Arabidopsis thaliana: one gene and its partners. The protein of the gene in region 1 interacts with the protein of each later gene in a pairwise test. Each region holds a gene or a part of one and is shown in the gene's direction. Other genes may lie near its edges. The genes, in order: WSIP2, ARF2, SPL and IAA2.

The links.
Region 2: the proteins of WSIP2 (region 1) and ARF2 interact in a two-hybrid assay, tested with the Arabidopsis thaliana proteins (one study listed by BioGRID).
Region 3: the proteins of WSIP2 (region 1) and SPL interact in a two-hybrid assay, tested with the Arabidopsis thaliana proteins (2 studies listed by BioGRID).
Region 4: the proteins of WSIP2 (region 1) and IAA2 interact in a two-hybrid assay, tested with the Arabidopsis thaliana proteins (one study listed by BioGRID).

What each region holds. Positions count from the first base shown.
Region 1 is NC_003074.8:5,369,268-5,374,311, reverse strand, and holds the start of WSIP2 (WUS-interacting protein 2), read left to right. Parts: upstream 1-2,022; 5' UTR 2,023-2,147; exon of another isoform or gene 2,148-2,379; 5' UTR 2,380-2,442; coding exon 2,443-2,522; intron 2,523-2,692; coding exon 2,693-2,872; intron 2,873-2,961; coding exon 2,962-3,075; intron 3,076-3,186; coding exon 3,187-3,345; intron 3,346-3,429; coding exon 3,430-3,607; intron 3,608-3,692; coding exon 3,693-3,813; intron 3,814-4,336; coding exon 4,337-4,458; intron 4,459-4,540; coding exon 4,541-4,709; intron 4,710-4,858; coding exon 4,859-4,968; intron 4,969-5,044. UniProt on the Arabidopsis thaliana protein: Transcription corepressor of Zinc finger transcription factors GAF1/IDD2 and ENY/IDD1 in regulation of gibberellin homeostasis and signaling.
Region 2 is NC_003076.8:24,908,253-24,915,899, forward strand, and holds ARF2 (auxin response factor 2), read left to right. Parts: upstream 1-1,938; 5' UTR 1,939-2,358; exon of another isoform or gene 2,359-2,460; 5' UTR 2,461-2,606; coding exon 2,607-2,760; intron 2,761-2,850; coding exon 2,851-2,966; intron 2,967-3,091; coding exon 3,092-3,187; intron 3,188-3,271; coding exon 3,272-3,328; intron 3,329-3,422; coding exon 3,423-3,578; intron 3,579-3,680; coding exon 3,681-3,765; intron 3,766-3,859; coding exon 3,860-3,950; intron 3,951-4,029; coding exon 4,030-4,194; intron 4,195-4,328; coding exon 4,329-4,448; intron 4,449-4,541; coding exon 4,542-4,617; intron 4,618-4,693; coding exon 4,694-4,865; intron 4,866-4,961; coding exon 4,962-5,884; intron 5,885-5,975; coding exon 5,976-6,166; intron 6,167-6,250; coding exon 6,251-6,428; 3' UTR 6,429-6,468; intron 6,469-6,561; exon of another isoform or gene 6,562-6,564; coding exon of another isoform or gene 6,565-6,621; 3' UTR 6,622-7,143; downstream 7,144-7,647. Other genes in the region: AT5G61997 (uncharacterized protein), read right to left, coding at 13-132. UniProt on the Arabidopsis thaliana protein: Auxin response factors (ARFs) are transcriptional factors that bind specifically to the DNA sequence 5'-TGTCTC-3' found in the auxin-responsive promoter elements (AuxREs). Could act as transcriptional activator or repressor.
Region 3 is NC_003075.7:13,681,546-13,685,233, reverse strand, and holds SPL (sporocyteless (SPL)), read left to right. Parts: upstream 1-1,639; 5' UTR 1,640-1,774; coding exon 1,775-2,305; intron 2,306-2,404; coding exon 2,405-2,638; intron 2,639-2,727; coding exon 2,728-2,907; 3' UTR 2,908-3,156; downstream 3,157-3,688. UniProt on the Arabidopsis thaliana protein: Transcriptional regulator of sporocyte development. Acts as an adapter-like transcriptional repressor recruiting TPL/TPR corepressors to inhibit TCP transcription factors. Required for nucellus and embryo sac development.
Region 4 is NC_003074.8:8,180,101-8,184,001, reverse strand, and holds IAA2 (indole-3-acetic acid inducible 2), read left to right. Parts: upstream 1-1,906; 5' UTR 1,907-2,055; coding exon 2,056-2,489; intron 2,490-2,581; coding exon 2,582-2,933; 3' UTR 2,934-3,356; downstream 3,357-3,901. UniProt on the Arabidopsis thaliana protein: Aux/IAA proteins are short-lived transcriptional factors that function as repressors of early auxin response genes at low auxin concentrations.

The sequences.
Region 1 (5,044 bases):
GGTAACAGTTTAATAGAACAAGTCTGAGTAGCTCTAATTTCGTCTCGATGTGAGATTGATAAACAGAGAGAGAGAGAGACAGAAGTACAAGTAGACTATTTATTTTGTTCTTTTTTATTATTTTTGCACACTTTTTTTTTTTTTTGCTCGCATAAAATAAACAAATTTTAAAAATATATATATAGTATTAAAAAAGAAGCTGATATGGAAAAGTCATAAACAATAAATAAAACTTTAACCAAAAGAAGAATAAAATTTTTGAACGTTAGTATCCGTTGTATAAAAGTGTATATATTAAGTTCCAACTGTATTTTTTTCTCATATCTATTTATTTATTTTTCCTTTTTATTATATGTGTCGTTTTAAAGTTTTTGTTTTACTCTTCTGTAATGTATTATACAGAAATAACATAATTATAAATAAGCTGGATTTTACCAATTATTTAATATAAAACGGAAAGGGTATGTTGTTGAAGATACTTGATGTTTTAAAATTTGAAGTTGTTGTAGTCATTGTTAAGGGTCGGCTGATGAGTCAGGACAACTCATTGAAACCATTTATTCGATGTTTCAAATATTAAACAAATAGACAGAAGATTCTACTATCTTCTTCAAAAATATAATATTAAACACAAGTCTTTGTTTCTTTGCTAGCTCTAGTTACAGAAATTTTGAATTAAAGCTATGAAAATAACTTTACGTTTAGTAAATTGCTAAAATATTCAGAGCGATCAGAAAGGAATGTTTGCTCTCTCATCTTAAAATTATATATTTGAGGTGATGCTTCTTCACCAACATGGGCAGATGGGCTTATGGAACCATTTGCTGATTAATTGCAGTCATTGATAACTGTCTGGGTGTGTCATTGTCATCAAAGTGATTGTTCAAGGAAAACATGTTTGGGACGAAATTGATTCCCAATCATGTTTAGCAATTGGGCCAGTCAATTCCCCCGATAATCTAGACCTAAAAGCCCAAACCAATGTAAGCAATACTGGTGTAGGAATACTTGTAAGAAGATTTGATATGACTCCTACTAGAACCATAATGTGGATGGACTGTTGAAGTAGCATAGTAATTACTAGCCAAAACATCCATGGGAAAAAAAATAAAGTACAAATATAAATTTTGATTTTTTTTTTTTTTATAAATAGAACAAAACTAAACATGTGAATAGGCCATATCTCTTAAATTCCTAACAAATTAGCATAATATATTCACGGAAATGCGTTACAAACCGTATTATAGAATAAAACTCCACTTTTTACTGTGAATTACTATAACAAAAAAGAAAGAATACACATTTGTAAAATTCACTTATTTGTTACCACATAAGATTTATATTTTTCCAAAAGTAAATTATCCATAAAACCTTTAATTTGTTTTTTTGACAATAAAAGATGAAGAAAATAAAATTTAATTAATTTGCGTACTACATAACTGGAAATAAAAATATCACATCTGATTTACTGCTATTCTTCTCTAAATTAAAAACTTCAAAATCCATTACTTAAATAATTAATTCATAAAAAAAATATTTGCAATATTAATTGACGGTTAGTTGATGTCATAAAAATAATATAATGGCACTAAATTCTATACAGAAACAGAAATAAACCAATTATGAGATACTCTACTTTAATGTATAGTTTGAAAAACAAAAAAAAATCCCCAGCTACGTTCAAAACCTAACGAGAGAGCATTAAATTAGACAGCAGTGTTGTACTAGATTCGCAACAACATCAATACGTCACTTAAATTAAAATAAAATACGAAAACATTAAATTAAAATAAATTTTAGAAAAAGTAATTAAAACGAAGGTTACTTATTATAGTGGGGAGATTAAGCTTTTTGAGTAAATTCCTATCTACAAAATACACGCTTCTATTAAAAAAAATAGAAGCCCAACGACCACACAAAAACAAATTAATTAAATCATAAAAACTCATAAATTAAAATAAAAAGCAATAAATCCAAAAAAAAAAAAAGGAAACTCCGAAAACGAGACAGCATCAGAAATTATCGCCATAAATAGCCCCCACGTCTCTCTCTCTCTCTTCTCCAAAGTCTTCTTCTTCTTCTTCTTCTTCTTCCTCTTCTTCCTCTCTGCTTTGTCTCTCTCCTTCTTCAAAGTCAAAATTCAACAGGTATTTATATTTATAAACTTTCCTTTTTTTCTTTAATCTCTTTCTCGGGAGCCTCTCTCGTATATTCTCGCACGTGCACATCTCGTGCCACCTGGGTTTGGGGGGATTCGTCTTTCGAATTCGATCGATTTCGTTTTTTTTTTTAGATCTGTCTTTCCTTTTTTGGGGTGTGAAGAAGATGTTTTCTTTTATAAAACCCTAATTCTCTCTTTGTGTCTTTGTGTTTGATTAGTGGTTCATGAGTGGTATTGTGATCGATCTGTTACTTTCGGAGAGCGAGCAATAAGAAGAGGATATGTCGTCACTCAGCAGAGAACTCGTGTTTTTAATACTTCAGTTTCTCGATGAAGAGAAATTCAAAGATACTGTTCACAGGTAATTTATATTATATCATTGTTTAATTGCGGTCCCTCTTCCTTTGATTGTCGGGATTAGAGTAAAGTAGGGATTAAGATTAATTAATTTTGATTTTGTAATTTAGCATTATTTCTTCAATGTTAATCCAGAAGCAGTTACAACTTTGGATATTTTTTTTGACTAATTAGGTTGGAGAAAGAGTCTGGTTTTTTCTTCAACATGAGGTACTTTGAAGATAGTGTAACAGCTGGTGAATGGGATGATGTAGAGAAGTATCTTTCTGGATTCACTAAAGTTGATGATAATAGATACTCTATGAAAATATTTTTCGAGATTCGGAAGCAGAAGTACCTTGAAGCACTTGACAAGTAAAGTTTCACTTGTGTTGTTTAGTTTTATTGAATTGAAGTGTGGTTTTGAGTATTGATTTGTTTTCCCATCTTTTGTTTTACCATAGGAAAGATCATGCCAAGGCGGTTGATATTCTTGTTAAGGAGTTGAAAGTGTTCTCGACATTCAACGAAGAGCTTTTTAAGGAGATTACCATGCTTTTAACCTTGACTAACTTCAGGTACATTCTTTACTTTCTTAGCACTTTTTTTTTATGGTTTCATTGACCACTGGATTGTTATAAACCATGCGCTTGTGGTGTTGATGTTTCATTTACTTGCAATAATTCAAGGGAAAATGAGCAGCTTTCCAAGTATGGAGATACTAAGTCCGCAAGAGGTATCATGCTTGGGGAACTTAAAAAACTGATTGAAGCAAATCCTCTCTTCCGAGACAAACTTCAATTTCCCAGTTTGAAGAATTCTAGATTGAGAACCTTAATAAATCAAAGGTACAAGCTTTGTTTTTTTAACTTTTGCTCCCGTTTTTCTTTTGGTGGAACAACTAACTGAACGTTGCTTCTGCTGAATCATAGTTTGAACTGGCAACATCAGCTTTGCAAGAATCCTAGGCCTAACCCGGATATAAAAACACTATTTGTTGACCATACGTGTGGGCATCCCAATGGTGCACACACTCCTTCCCCTACAACTAATCATTTAATGGGTTCAGTCCCTAAAGTTGGAGGCTTCCCACCATTAGGTGCTCACGGTGTAAGTTGCTCTAAGATTACAGCTTCTGTTGGATTAGTTTTTAGCACATGAATTTAACTTTGCTAGTTTGTATGCTCTTGTTCAGCCATTTCAGCCAACACCAGCTCCTCTTACAACATCTCTTGCAGGATGGATGCCTAATCCATCGGTACAACACCCTACTGTTTCCGCTGGGCCTATCGGCTTAGGTGCCCCCAACAGTGCTGGTAATGTTGTCCCTACTAATTTTATTCTTCTGAAATATGTGTGTTGGAGATTTAGTTTACCAAATATTAGCTTATACGGTTATGTAATTTGCCATCCCTTGTTTAGATCATCATTAGTTGGATGGTTATCTGTGCTTCTTTGACTGACTGAACTGCATGAAATGATATAAATATATTTACTGAGTTACATTTTCCAGAGCTGTAGTGGTAAACTGTCTCTCTTTTCTTTTACGGACTAAAGCAGTTTTTAGTGGTAAACTGTCTCTATGGTGGATTAGAGAGAGAGAGAGAACTATATGCTCATATCAGCCGTTTTGTTTAATTTCACAATACTCTTGTTTATAGATAATAGATAGAGAAGCAAACATTTAATTTAATGTCAGATAGCCTTGAAGTGCTGTCTTAGGTCTGAAACTTTTATTTATTTCATTTTTTGTAGTCCATAACGTGGAGATCAGTTTGTGTGTGTTTACCAATTGCATAGCTTACCATAATCTATTTATTCTTCTTTTTTTCCTTGCAGTGTCTATGTTAAAGCGTGAGCGTCCCAGGAGTCCTCCAACTAATAGCCTATCAATGGATTATCAGACGGCAGATTCTGAAAGTGTGTTGAAGAGACCCAGACCTTTTGGTATTTCAGATGGGGTATTAACGGCTGCTTGTTCGTTTTTCAGCTTAAGTTCTCAACTTTTCTTAGAAGTCACAACTTTCTTTGAACATTTTACAGGTTAATAATCTTCCAGTCAATGTCTTGCCAGTCACATATCCAGGGCAAAGCCATGCTCATGCAACTTATTCTACTGATGACTTGCCCAAAAACGTTAGCAGGATTTTGAGTCAGGGTTCTGCCATTAAGAGCATGGATTTTCATCCAGTACAGCAAACTATGCTCCTTGGTTGGTTTTCTCCTCTGAAGCACGCATCATTCTTCTGTTTTATTCTGGTTTATGCCAGAGAAACCTGCAAAACTTGTATCAGACAGCATAACTTTCATCTTCTCAGTACAATCTGCTTACTTTATCTTGGATTTACATTTGTTTCCTAGTTGGCACCAATCTTGGTGATATTGCAATATGGGAGGTGGGTAGCAGGGAGAAGCTCGTTTCTAGAAGCTTTAAAGTTTGGGATCTTGCTACTTGCACTGTGAACCTTCAGGTATAGTTCCTCTTTATTGATCTACTGTAACAGTCGAATGAGGTGGGAGATTTGTTGTTAGTTAGTTAAAACTATA
Region 2 (7,647 bases), on another chromosome or scaffold:
TGGTTTTTCTTTTTAACGGACAAAGATTCCTACAATGGTTGCTTTTAGACCACACACAAATGCTACACAGTACTCTTGGGTCCCACACCTCTTAGCAAGTGCGTTACCAACACGTGAATTTCCTCTCCCCATTTTCTCGTCCTTTTCCTCTCAATATTGTATCGTCTCGTTTTCCTTGTCATATCGCGTGTGACGTGTTATTGGCTTATTGCTGAACAGTCTTCTTTTTTATTTTCCATCGTTATCCTGATTTTTTTTTTTTTCCAAATTTGATTTTCATGGTTTGTAATTTTGCAATAGATTTTGTGTTTCACAGAGAGATAGTTTACGTGTTGTTAAAAATAATTTGTGCAAAATAGTGTGCGTGTGTTAAATATTAAACGATATATAATAATTAGAAGAAAATAAAAAGTTTTGTCGCGATTAGTTATTTGATATTTACCTTGTTCTTTTGTTTATCGCTGCGACAAGCACCGACGGTATAAAATATAAAGAAAAAAAGAAAGAGAGATGAAGGTGAGATGAATGAAAGAGTCGCAGCGACAGATCTGAAGAGATAGGAGAAAGGGAATTTGAGACGCTGAAAATTCCAGCGTCTACGGAATGGCCGAATTACAGTCGATGCGGCAGAGATGAAAAAAATGAGAAATGAAAGTGAAAAAGAGATGAGAACTTTTTTTGGGTCGCAGGTAGCTGACGCAGCAATCAACAAAAGAACATGGCCAACGTTTTAGTAGATACTACTATAAAAGAAAAAGGTTGATTTAATTCATTCGTAATTTGGACTTAATTTTTTTTTAGGAACACTAATTAATCTTATTTGCCAGCTGTATGAGTGGACTACAATAAACTCTTGTCTATAAACCAGATTTTCTTCCTTTTTAACGCTTCCACTTACAACAATATATGTAAATATGTAATTATGACGGGGCATACGGAAATTTAATTTTTGAAGCAGATTCATCCCATTAGCCAGCTGTATTAAGTGGTAATCCAAGAGTTAATTTAGTTGTTCAGCAAATGATTTTAGATAAAATCAACTACTAGTTTAAAATAACTATCGAATGACTGTTAAGGCTTCGTATTTTTTGTTCTGCCATCAGGATATCATAAATATGGTTGAGGTTCGTATAATATTCGACGATCTTTTATATATCTGAGTTGTAATTGAATTAGAGAAAATAAAAAACAGATAATGAAACGTCTTTGTTTTTCCATAAAAAGAAAAACAGGGTAAATTAAAGTACGAGAGATTCACGAGACGAAAATTCCTAGAGGCGCACGATAGCCAAAAGACCATAGAAAATGACATCCGAAATATCTTTAAAATGCTAAAATGCACATATTTTTCTGGTGCCACGTAGCATTTTTCTCCCTCTCTCGTTCTCTCTACGTCCACCCAGACCTGCCTGTTCACAGCACGACAAAGCCACTTCCCAATAAAAACACAACACCTTTCCCATTGACGCTCTCTTTCCCAAACACCGTTATCCTCTTTACCCAATCAAAAGTTGACGCTTGCTCACGACTTGTTGACGCCGTTAGTCCCATCTAAAAAAGTAAAGCAGCCTTTCTTACTTGCTAATCCCCTCTACACATTTAATTTATTTTCTCCCCTAATGGATTTTTTTTGGCAACTTGAGTATTTATTTTTCAACTCACAGTAACTGTAAATAAATAAAAGTATTCAACTCACAGTCACCAGTAAATAAATACTACCAGACCATAGTTTTTTCAAGAATTGTTTTGGTCAACAATTTTAGGATGACTTAAATTGCTATATTTCTGGGGAAATACGACTTGGAAATGTCTGCAATTTGGGTCTTTTCTTCAATTTATCTTCTCCAATTTGTTTTTTAAAAAATTAAATTTTAGAAAAGGATATGTCAATTTTTTCTATTGAAAAGGCTTTATTAAAAAATAAGAAAAAGTGGAGGAAAGAAAATAAAATCGTCACTTGTCTTTGGTTTTGTGAGGTCGCAGACCCTGGTCCCCCGGAAATGGTTACAACCGGTAATAGCCGGTATGAAAGAGGGAATGGTAACCGGTGAATGCCGGTTATCCATATGGGTTAGAAGTTTACCGCGGTTGAAATGATTGAAGCTGAGTTTTGACTACCTCTGGTTAAGCCCATTGGTCGCCTCATACCCAGAAAAACAAAAGGATAGGAAAGACGAAGAAATAAAAAGAGAGAGAATGTTAGAGAGACAAACTCTGAGAGACAAAACAAGAGAAAATCGCTCGTCGTCGGTATTCAAGCGTCTGTGACTCCGATAAAGCCTAGACTAGCGAGGACGGCGAGAGAGAGAGAGAGAGAGCTTTGGAGTTGTCGTATCTCTAAATCGGAGGCAATTTGAGGTGAAATTGGTGGTTTTATCGTTTGATTCTAGGGTTTATCTTCTCTGATAGTTTTATCGAGTAATGTCAAGGAGCTAAACTAGTGGTGATTGTGTTTGTTAGTGAGATAAAGACAAAGGAAGGAATCAAGTGGACTACCGAAGCGAGTTTTGAGCTTTTTCAGAGACGGATTTGGAGATTTCTTGTTGATATCGTCTGCTTAGAGGCTTATTTGGTACCAGATGAAACAGATCTGAGCTTCGGAAGGTATGGCGAGTTCGGAGGTTTCAATGAAAGGTAATCGTGGAGGAGATAACTTCTCCTCCTCTGGTTTTAGTGACCCTAAGGAGACTAGAAATGTCTCCGTCGCCGGCGAGGGGCAAAAAAGTAATTCTACCCGATCCGCTGCGGCTGAGCGTGCTTGTAAGTCTCCGTTTCTTAGGGTTTCTTAAGCTTGGTTTTGGTTACAGACTGACTTGATCTAATTTATCTTCTTCTTCTTCGTCTTCATAGTGGACCCTGAGGCTGCTCTTTACAGAGAGCTATGGCACGCTTGTGCTGGTCCGCTTGTGACGGTTCCTAGACAAGACGACCGAGTCTTCTATTTTCCTCAAGGACACATCGAGCAGGTGAGATATTTCATCTATGAGTTCTTGCTATTTTTGGCTAAATCTTTGAGTTAACCCCTCTGTGATTCGTACCTGTTGAGATATTTTCTAATGAACTTTGTCGGTTTCCATTGTTTTATGATTAGGTGGAGGCTTCGACGAACCAGGCGGCAGAACAACAGATGCCTCTCTATGATCTTCCGTCAAAGCTTCTCTGTCGAGTTATTAATGTAGATTTAAAGGTAGGTTTCTTTAACTTCTTGGAAAATTTTGGTTTCTGTGTCTTGGATTGTCAGCTAACAAGAGTTTTGTTTATGATTTTACAGGCAGAGGCAGATACAGATGAAGTTTATGCGCAGATTACTCTTCTTCCTGAGGCTAATGTAAGTTTTGTTTTCTGATTTATTGGTTTGAGTGTTGTAGAGGTGATCTTATTCTTCAAGATGCTGAATTCTATATATTTTTTGTTCCATACAGCAAGACGAGAATGCAATTGAGAAAGAAGCGCCTCTTCCTCCACCTCCGAGGTTCCAGGTGCATTCGTTCTGCAAAACCTTGACTGCATCCGACACAAGTACACATGGTGGATTTTCTGTTCTTAGGCGACATGCGGATGAATGTCTCCCACCTCTGGTTGGTGTTTCATTTGCGCTTCTAACTATCTATTCATTGGCTTATTTTTCCTGAATTTTGTTCTAAGATTGCCTTCAATTCATTTTTTGTTTCTTCCCTCAGGATATGTCTCGACAGCCTCCCACTCAAGAGTTAGTTGCAAAGGATTTGCATGCAAATGAGTGGCGATTCAGACATATATTCCGGGGTATAGGAATCTGTAACTTTTTTATTTTCTGTTTTTCTCGAGTCTGTGTGTCATCAAACTTATCTGGTTGTTGATGTTTGTGATAATGGACCAGGTCAACCACGGAGGCATTTGCTACAGAGTGGGTGGAGTGTGTTTGTTAGCTCCAAAAGGCTAGTTGCAGGCGATGCGTTTATATTTCTAAGGTTTGTGGATTTTAGTTCATTGTTTTCTTTAGCTGTATCTGTTAGTTTCTATAATGTGGAATATCTTAATCTTCTACAGGGGCGAGAATGGAGAATTAAGAGTTGGTGTAAGGCGTGCGATGCGACAACAAGGAAACGTGCCGTCTTCTGTTATATCTAGCCATAGCATGCATCTTGGAGTACTGGCCACCGCATGGCATGCCATTTCAACAGGGACTATGTTTACAGTCTACTACAAACCCAGGTTTGTATTTGTATTAGCTCACAAAACAGCTTTCAGTTTTTTGAGCTCTTTGCTTTGTATGTCTCTATATGTCTGATGCTTGGTAGTGAATCACTCTACTAAATTTTCATGCGGTGTTGTTTTGTTTAATACAGGACGAGCCCATCTGAGTTTATTGTTCCGTTCGATCAGTATATGGAGTCTGTTAAGAATAACTACTCTATTGGCATGAGATTCAAAATGAGATTTGAAGGCGAAGAGGCTCCTGAGCAGAGGTAAAACCTGTCTTCTGCTTTTGAAATATGTTAGCTCTTGAGCCTTTTTCTCTTGGAATAACGAACCTAACAAGTTGTATTGATTTATATTAGGTTTACTGGCACAATCGTTGGGATTGAAGAGTCTGATCCTACTAGGTGGCCAAAATCAAAGTGGAGATCCCTCAAGGTATGACCTAGTTTCTAGAGAGGATCAAGACTATTGTTTGAATATAATGAATGCTGATTGTTCAATTGTCTTTCAGGTGAGATGGGATGAGACTTCTAGTATTCCTCGACCTGATAGAGTATCTCCGTGGAAAGTAGAGCCAGCTCTTGCTCCTCCTGCTTTGAGTCCTGTTCCAATGCCTAGGCCTAAGAGGCCCAGATCAAATATAGCACCTTCATCTCCTGACTCTTCGATGCTTACCAGAGAAGGTAATGTCTTCCCCTTCCACTGTAGTACACATAGTAGTGCGTCTGAAACTTAATTGAACTTGTCAGTGGGAGTCTAATTCATTGTACACAAAACAGGTACAACTAAGGCAAACATGGACCCTTTACCAGCAAGCGGACTTTCAAGGGTCTTGCAAGGTCAAGAATACTCGACCTTGAGGACGAAACATACTGAGAGTGTAGAGTGTGATGCTCCTGAGAATTCTGTTGTCTGGCAATCTTCAGCGGATGATGATAAGGTTGACGTGGTTTCGGGTTCTAGAAGATATGGATCTGAGAACTGGATGTCCTCAGCCAGGCATGAACCTACTTACACAGATTTGCTCTCCGGCTTTGGGACTAACATAGATCCATCCCATGGTCAGCGGATACCTTTTTATGACCATTCATCATCACCTTCTATGCCTGCAAAGAGAATCTTGAGTGATTCAGAAGGCAAGTTCGATTATCTTGCTAACCAGTGGCAGATGATACACTCTGGTCTCTCCCTGAAGTTACATGAATCTCCTAAGGTACCTGCAGCAACTGATGCGTCTCTCCAAGGGCGATGCAATGTTAAATACAGCGAATATCCTGTTCTTAATGGTCTATCGACTGAGAATGCTGGTGGTAACTGGCCAATACGTCCACGTGCTTTGAATTATTATGAGGAAGTGGTCAATGCTCAAGCGCAAGCTCAGGCTAGGGAGCAAGTAACAAAACAACCCTTCACGATACAAGAGGAGACAGCAAAGTCAAGAGAAGGGAACTGCAGGCTCTTTGGCATTCCTCTGACCAACAACATGAATGGGACAGACTCAACCATGTCTCAGAGAAACAACTTGAATGATGCTGCGGGGCTTACACAGATAGCATCACCAAAGGTTCAGGACCTTTCAGATCAGTCAAAAGGGTCAAAATCAACAAACGATCATCGTGAACAGGGAAGACCATTCCAGACTAATAATCCTCATCCGAAGGATGCTCAAACGAAAACCAACTCAAGTAGGAGTTGCACAAAGGTAAATTTTTGCAATATGTAGCACAAAGTGTATGAGGTTGTGATAACCCTTGAATCACTTTTCAACTAACACATGACACATTGATGTAAAGGTTCACAAGCAGGGAATTGCACTTGGCCGTTCAGTGGATCTTTCAAAGTTCCAAAACTATGAGGAGTTAGTCGCTGAGCTGGACAGGCTGTTTGAGTTCAATGGAGAGTTGATGGCTCCTAAGAAAGATTGGTTGATAGTTTACACAGATGAAGAGAATGATATGATGCTTGTTGGTGACGATCCTTGGCAGTAAGATTTTGCAAATTTTCCATCTTAGTTTATATCGATGTTAGTGTTTTTCTTATAACACTGACACAATGATCTCTCTTGCAGGGAGTTTTGTTGCATGGTTCGCAAAATCTTCATATACACGAAAGAGGAAGTGAGGAAGATGAACCCGGGGACTTTAAGCTGTAGGAGCGAGGAAGAAGCAGTTGTTGGGGAAGGATCAGATGCAAAGGACGCCAAGTCTGCATCAAATCCTTCATTGTCCAGCGCTGGGAACTCTTAAACAAACAAAATAACCAACAACCCTTTTGCTGCAAGCCGAGGTATGTAAAAGCTTTTGAGATATTAGTAGACTAGAGACACAGCCAAAAGTTTATGTCATTACATTCGACTGATGTTTGTTCTGTTAATGACAGCAGGATGGGGGTCGATTGGTGGAGACTGGAGAGCAAAATGGGATGATGGGTTTAAGATAAGATATTAAAAATGCAATTTTTGAAGTATTTTGTTGGCCACTTAGATAATTAGCATCTTCCATCACCCTTATTATCTATCTAATAATAATTAATAGATATTATAAAGTAAAACATAAAAAGGTTACAGGTATTATATAGTAGAATATGAAAAGCTCTTTTATAAGTAGAATATGATGGTGTGGAGTTGTAGTCGGAGGCTGGTATCGGTTCTTTTTATGGATGTATTTTTTTCCTTCTTCCAAAGATCTCTTGAAGTCTTTTTATTGTTTATATTAATCCCAATGTACATAAGTTTTCAAGCTCTTGCCCTTTTTTAATTATCTTGTCGATTCACATTTTCTCAACTTATTCTCTTGCTGACTTTTGGTTTTGGTCTGGTCTTGTCGGTATTTTGCAGCTTTTCGTATTAGACGGTGATATAGATATATTCACGAAACTGTAAGACCTCTTAACAAACGGATTCCATTTCGAATCCTTACATTAAATAAATTCGGATGTTTCTAGCTACAATCTGAAAATTAAGCTTGCAATGAGCAAAACAGTGAGCCCTCTTTTTAAAGTACTTTGAAAAAAAAACTGGATGCTAAAATTTGTTGTTTCCCTTGTAACAATGAGGAAAACAAGGTTTGGGTTTTCAAGTTTATTTCTCTAGCTATGCTCATGTCCATATAAACGAATCCGCTGAAAAACAGAAAGATGACACCATGGCAAACACATGATCAAAGTTTCGTGATCTATGGTTTCATTCTATCATATGGCTCTTCATAACCAAACTTGTATTTAGGTAGAACTCTATCTAAATCAAGACTTTAAACCATATGAAACACACAACACCGGCAACTCTGGCATACTACCGCCTTAAGCCGACAATCTCAATCGTCACAGAAACACAACAAACATTTTATCAAACTTGCTGAGTTTATGGAAAAACTTTCAATTGTATCAGTTTATGCCATTATCTTACAACAATACAAAACTGCATAGTTAAATAAGTGGTTCTCTAGCTCCTTGTAATTCTACCATCGA
Region 3 (3,688 bases), on another chromosome or scaffold:
TATATAAAAAAAAAACGAAATCTCAACACATAGTAATGTATAATTACTTCAGTGGGGCTTCTCTTAAGACTTGTATTGAGAATATCCATATAAAACAAACTTTGTATTAAGATAATTAAAATTTTCTAATAGTAGGTATTGGGCTGAAGCCAAGATTAACATGGAGGCAGCTTTAAAATGTTTCCTTATATGATGCAGCCATCATTTCTACTCTACTCCGTAGCTCCAAACCCTTCTCGTAATTCACGTCTCTCATGCTATTCTTTTTGCTTTCGTCCTCCTCTCATGTGAAGCAATAACTATCTCTCGATTTTTTTTTTCAAATACCGAAAGCTAACTTTTTCAAATAAATGTCAAATATATTAATTTTCGTTTTGTATTTAGTATTTTATTTGTCAGCTAAGTATAGTGAGTTTTTAAGCTTACTCGTCGTATTTATCATATATTCATATACATATCACATTAGTCAAAGTAAATAAAAATTTGTTTTTGAAGAAAAAAAAAATACATATAACTGCGAGTCTGCGACTGTAACTGGACTTGCTTATTTTAGTTGATATGAGCTGAGTAAAATCACGTTGTCCCAGACCTTGCTCGCTACAATCGGCGAATGGTCTAACGTCCCGACACCTGTCCTCGATCCGCGGGTACTATATTCTTTGCAATGTGATGCACGCGCTGTTACTATTGGACAGTGTTTCTCACCTCACGACTGAGCCTATGCGAGTAGCGACAATCTCCGATTTGCTGTCTCCATGGTAGGGATTATCACAATCTCTGATTTTTTTTATCAGGAACAAGTAAATAAATAGCTTTGAGTTTTTGTTTTTTTTCTACATTCTTCGCCCAAAAGATGTAAGAAAATAAAGGATTTGAAACCTTGTTCTGTTGTTACTCCTTTAAATTCTTAAAAACTATAAATCATTATATCTTTGATCTGTTTCACAAACTAATCATATTCGTTGCAAAGTGAGAATTCGTCCCACTTTACTCTTTACACCGATACTAGTATTATAGATGTACAGCATAGTATTCCATATCTAGTTATTTAGTCAAAACTCTATATATTAAGAGGTAGGTTAATTAATTAAGGAGTAATTGAAGATTATAGAAAGAATAAAAAATACCATTTAATGGACAGAACCAAAGATAACTAACTATCATACTATAATGTTGAATTTCTTCCACGATCCAATGCATGGATAACAACATCAATCAAATCATACATTCATGCTATATAACATAGTTTTCAGTTACAAACTCTCTTTTTTATTTATTTCAGTTGTTCCTTTTCATGACCATATTAACATCAAATAATGCATTTTTTTCAACGTCTCTTGACTTACACCCACTAATATTGACAAATTGAACATCTATACGACTATACACACATAAGTTAAAAATGCATGCAAGTGCTAAGGGAATTTATAACATCTAAGGTTAATAAGACTAAGAAAGTATAAAATAAGAATACGTATTATGAATTTATGATATACTTTACTAATCTTTTTGAAAAATACTTTAATTTAATCTACTATAGGGGGTAAAAAGTAAAAAAGAAATAAAGATACGTTTATCCGCATATAGTACCTGGAAATAACAGAAAATAAAAACACAGGTAAGTACTTTGCCTGAGCTAGTATATGAACACTAAAGAGATACACACACACAAAAAGAGAGCAGAAACAAAACACACACACTTAAAGCTTTCGTCTTTACCTCTTCCCTTCTCTCTCTCTATCTAAAAAGAGTTCCGAGAAGAAGATCATCATCAATGGCGACTTCTCTCTTCTTCATGTCAACAGATCAAAACTCCGTCGGAAACCCAAACGATCTTCTGAGAAACACCCGTCTTGTCGTCAACAGCTCCGGCGAGATCCGGACAGAGACACTGAAGAGTCGTGGTCGGAAACCAGGATCGAAGACAGGTCAGCAAAAACAGAAGAAACCAACGTTGAGAGGAATGGGTGTAGCAAAGCTCGAGCGTCAGAGAATCGAAGAAGAAAAGAAGCAACTCGCCGCCGCCACAGTCGGAGACACGTCATCAGTAGCATCGATCTCTAACAACGCTACCCGTTTACCCGTACCGGTAGACCCGGGTGTTGTGCTACAAGGCTTCCCAAGCTCACTCGGGAGCAACAGGATCTATTGTGGTGGAGTCGGGTCGGGTCAGGTTATGATCGACCCGGTTATTTCTCCATGGGGTTTTGTTGAGACCTCCTCCACTACTCATGAGCTCTCTTCAATCTCAAATCCTCAAATGTTTAACGCTTCTTCCAATAATCGCTGTGACACTTGCTTCAAGGTTTGTTTGTTTTTTAATCGTTTTCATCAACATGATTGATATATATATAGTTTTTGCACTTGAAAAAGTTTTGATTTTTATTTATGTAAAAAACTGCAGAAGAAACGTTTGGATGGTGATCAGAATAATGTAGTTCGATCCAACGGTGGTGGATTTTCGAAATACACAATGATTCCTCCTCCGATGAACGGCTACGATCAGTATCTTCTTCAATCAGATCATCATCAGAGGAGCCAAGGTTTCCTTTATGATCATAGAATCGCTAGAGCAGCTTCAGTTTCTGCTTCTAGTACTACTATTAATCCTTATTTCAACGAGGCAACAAATCATACGGTACTAAGTATAGTCCATTTATTAATACTCATATATAGGTATATATGTATATAACTGTTGATCTTATTTGATTTAACTGGTGGGTTTAGGGACCAATGGAGGAATTTGGGAGCTACATGGAAGGAAACCCTAGAAATGGATCAGGAGGTGTGAAGGAGTACGAGTTTTTTCCGGGGAAATATGGTGAAAGAGTTTCAGTGGTGGCTAAAACGTCGTCACTCGTAGGTGATTGCAGTCCTAATACCATTGATTTGTCCTTGAAGCTTTAAATGTTTTATCTTTCTATATTGATTTAAACAAAATCGTCTCTTTAAAGAAAAAACATTTTAAGTAGATGAAAGTAAGAAACAGAAGAAAAAAAAGAGAGAGCCTTTTTTGGTGTATGCATCTGAGAGCTGAGTCGAAAGAAAGATTCAGCTTTTGGATTACCCTTTTGGTTGTTTATTATGAGATTCTAACCTAAACACTCAGACATATATGTTCTGTTCTCTTCCTTAATTGTTGTCATGAAACTTCTCTCTCCCTCTCTCTCTCTAAAGTTGTGTCAGATCTTGGGGCTTGTATCCATTTTGTGTTTCTTTAGTTAGGCAATGATCCTGTCATGATTCATGTTATCACCTAATTAATCCTCGGTTTTCGAAACGGTGTCATGCATATCTGATTAATCTTGTTATCTGGTGTGAGATAAATGTATCAAATTGCTCTTGTTTATAGCTTTTCCAATTAATGTCATTGCATAGCATATGGGATGTACAGCTTCGTTTTCGATTTATAAAATTTATACATGTGTTTGGTACGTACTGTTTTGTTTTGGATCAGAATTATAAATTTAGTACAGTATAAACTACTTTAAAAATTGGCCAATGAGAATTTTGAGTTTATCTTCTTTTTATAAGTTGATTGATTTTGCTTTGTTTATTTATAGAAAATATGAAATTTTATCAATTATTTTTGGGATGCTTTTTTATTGATTTTAGTTCGGCTAAAATTAGTTAGATGTTTAAATTTATTAAAACAGATATGCAAAAATTAACTCGATGGTTTTTTTTT
Region 4 (3,901 bases), 2.8 Mb from region 1:
TATATGACATACTTTTTTTTTTTGAATAAACGAGAAATTAAAGTAGAAAATAATTAACATTTTTACCATGATAATTAAAACACGGTTAATATTTCTAACCAAAAAAAATTAAGAATCTATTAGCTAGTTCATATAGTTATTCACGTACCTCTTCAAGATATGTACGTTAAAATTGTCATCAGAATCTGTAGTCCTTGTAGAGTAAAAAATATCAAATATTAACATAAAAGAACAAACAACTGTTGATTCAGTACATAAATTAATACATTAAATTGACCACAGAGACCAAAATAATCTAAAAATGATTTATGTATTTGGCTTAAGTTCAATATTGTTTTTTAGGCAAAACTTAATGTTCAATATATATTCATGGAATTAACTCCATAATAAACAGTAACTGAATTCTCTTGTACTTTCTTAAATGGTTTTCAGTAAAAAGGTTTAGTTTAACCAACAAATAACTTTAGCAATCATCTATATAAGCATAAAGCATCACATAGATCTAGTAGTTATGTTTCTATAATACATTTTCACTAAGACTAAAACATGCATGAACACACAAACAGGAAAAAACTATTCTCAAGAAGTTTGTTTCCCACCATGTTAAGTGATTCTAGAAATCTGTAAATGGTTAACCTTTAGTATTCATTCGTGCAATATTTAACAGACAAATGGTATTCATTCGTGCATCTCTCAGTTTGTGAGAAAATACATTGCATGAGTTCGTTATTAACTGGAAATAATACATAAAACTCTGACAATCAGAACCTCTAAATTATTTACTTATAAGAAGAGAGGCAACGTATCTTGCATCGCTTTTACTTATCTAATCTTTTGGTGATGGAAGGGGCAAGAACATAGAAGGAATCTTTATCTTAAAAGAAGAGAAAACAAATAATATCCAAAATTGGTAAATCCATTGAATAAAGCCTAACGTTAACATCAAATCGCATGCGGATTAGAAGCTAAATGCACATAGTTAAGCGTAATCTATGGGGAGAAATTAATTACCACTTTTTGGTTCATTCTTTTAAGTTTTATGATTCAATGAATACATAGCACGTGGAACCTCTCTCCCCCACAACCCATTTTGAAGGGAAATGAATAATTAAAAGAGACATACACATAAGAAAGCACATGGCTTTACCATTCCTCTATCAATTACCAACACATTTGACCCTTATCCACATGGGTCTTCGTCTCCTATTATAAAATCAAAATCTACACACAAAATGTTATAACATTTTCCAACTCACAATATACAAAATGCCACGCATAAATATGTCTTCGCAAGACAAATATGTAACGTTTAATATTCGATATTATCTGAGATTTAACCATAAAACTAATATTTCTTTATTAATCAAATTACATCTACGAGCAAAAATGATAAAATTCAACTTATGCACATTCAATAGTTCGTAACACATAAGAGTACTTGGAAACTCTAAATAATCTTCATTTTGGAATCAGGATTCAATAAAATAGTACTTTATTTGACATAAGTGTCCTTTTAACCATTTTTTACACCATACGTTTTTTCTTCTGAATCGAAATTTTTACATCATACTTTCAAAACATCTATTAATCTTTTAAGTTAAAAATTAATAAATCAATAGAAGTAAACTAAAAATAATAATCAACTTTCACATCAAATTTTAAGACAACACATTATATTTAAATATATATTAAGAATATCTATTATGCAACAAATGGATTAACAATCATTAGCACTTGATATTTTCTTTATAACCTGCACTATACACTTTCAAAAAGAGAAGAAGAAACCTTTAAGAAACAGTAAATAAATGTTATTATAATACACCTCTTTAGTCTTTACTTTATTTATATTTTCTCTGTTTGCTTTTATTCCGGGTCGGCCGATAGAATTCTCATCATTTCATTCATTTTTATATTCTTTCGTTATAATTATTATACATCCTTTGAAAGAAAAAGAAGAGGCAATAGAGATGGACGGCTAAGATGTTAACGTAAACAAAGTTGGCGGAGGGAAAAGAGGAGCGTGGAATAATTAAACAAAAGAGTCGTGTCCACATGGGCGGCCTCAAGCTTCGTGTCCCACTTTTGTCCCCTTGCCTCTTTCTTGCCTTTCATGCTTCCGACAACACTTCTCTCTCTTCCTTTAACCCTAACTTCGATGCTCCTTTATATATATCTCTCTCCCCTTTTCTCCAAAACTCATCAACCAGCTCACCAAGAACAAGAACAAGAAGAAGAAGAACAAGACAAGAAGAACAAAGTACCCAAGAAAACACACAAGAAGGAAACACAAAGATTGATATTGATCCAAAAGCAATGGCGTACGAGAAAGTCAACGAGCTTAACCTTAAGGACACAGAGCTATGTCTTGGATTACCCGGAAGAACAGAGAAGATCAAAGAAGAACAAGAGGTTTCTTGCGTTAAAAGTAACAACAAGCGTCTATTTGAGGAAACTCGTGATGAAGAAGAATCTACACCTCCTACCAAGTAAGTAGAAGAGATCTGAGTTTCAAATTGGCTTCTTTCAAATTATTGGCTCTTGAATAGTTTTACTAATCTTTCTTTCCTCAAATTTACAGAACTCAAATCGTTGGTTGGCCACCAGTGAGATCTTCCCGTAAGAACAACAACAGTGTGAGCTACGTGAAAGTGAGTATGGACGGAGCTCCTTACCTTCGCAAGATCGATCTCAAGACATACAAAAACTACCCCGAGCTTCTCAAAGCGTTAGAGAATATGTTCAAAGTCATGATTGGTGAATATTGTGAGAGAGAAGGATACAAAGGATCTGGATTTGTACCAACATACGAAGATAAAGATGGTGACTGGATGTTGGTTGGTGATGTTCCATGGGACATGTTCTCTTCTTCTTGTAAGAGACTCAGAATCATGAAGGGATCCGACGCTCCTGCTCTAGACTCTTCCTTATGATCCAGAGAAGCTGAGAATCTTTTGTCTAAAAAGGAGATGATGACTATGATCGATGAATGAAAAACCCTTTTTGGTTTGATTCGGATCGGAGTTTGACTAAAGTTGACCGTGAAAGACGAAACTTCGGGGTTTTGTCCGACGAGAGATCCATCTCTAGTGATGTTCTTTTTGTTTTTGTATTTAGATTTGAAGTTTGATGTAAAGATACATGAGATTTTATGTATAATACGGACACATACACAATCTATAGATGTATAATGTATTAAGTAGTTATGTCCTATAAGATCATCAGTTTTCTGTTCTTGATCACGAACATAATATTTTAAATTTCAGAAACTTATACACATTTGTTTAGCCAAGGTTATTTATTAACTTTTTTTTTTGTTTAAAGTTTAACCAAGGTTATTATTTACTTATTCAGCAAAACATTTACCACCACATGAGACAAATTTTCTATAATGCCTTCCCAAAACACATCCACAATTCTATAGATAGGCCTTGTCGATCAAAAGATTTCAAAAACAATTTTTCTTTTTGATGAATTGTAAATGACTCTGTCTCTTCAGCTTATTAGATGTTTTAGCTAAACTGCAAGAATTATTATGTAATAATTTTGTTATATTAAAAACAGAAATTAATATCTAACCTAAACAATTCAACCAATTGTAAAAAAATATTACATAATAATATAAGTCTGATAACATATGAAATTGAAAAACACAATTTAATATAATAAAACTGAGAAAATAATATTAGTTTTTCTAGGGTAAAGGTTATTAATATTACATAAAAACATAATAATATTAATAAAACACAATTTAAGATTATAGATTTTTAGACTACAAAAGGGCTCATGGGAAGTTCTCGAACCGGAACTGAACCAAAATACCGAACGCCAATGACTAGTTTTCAAGTATGTTTTTTTCATTATGTGAACCAAGTAATAAAAAATCATTTCTCTTCTAATA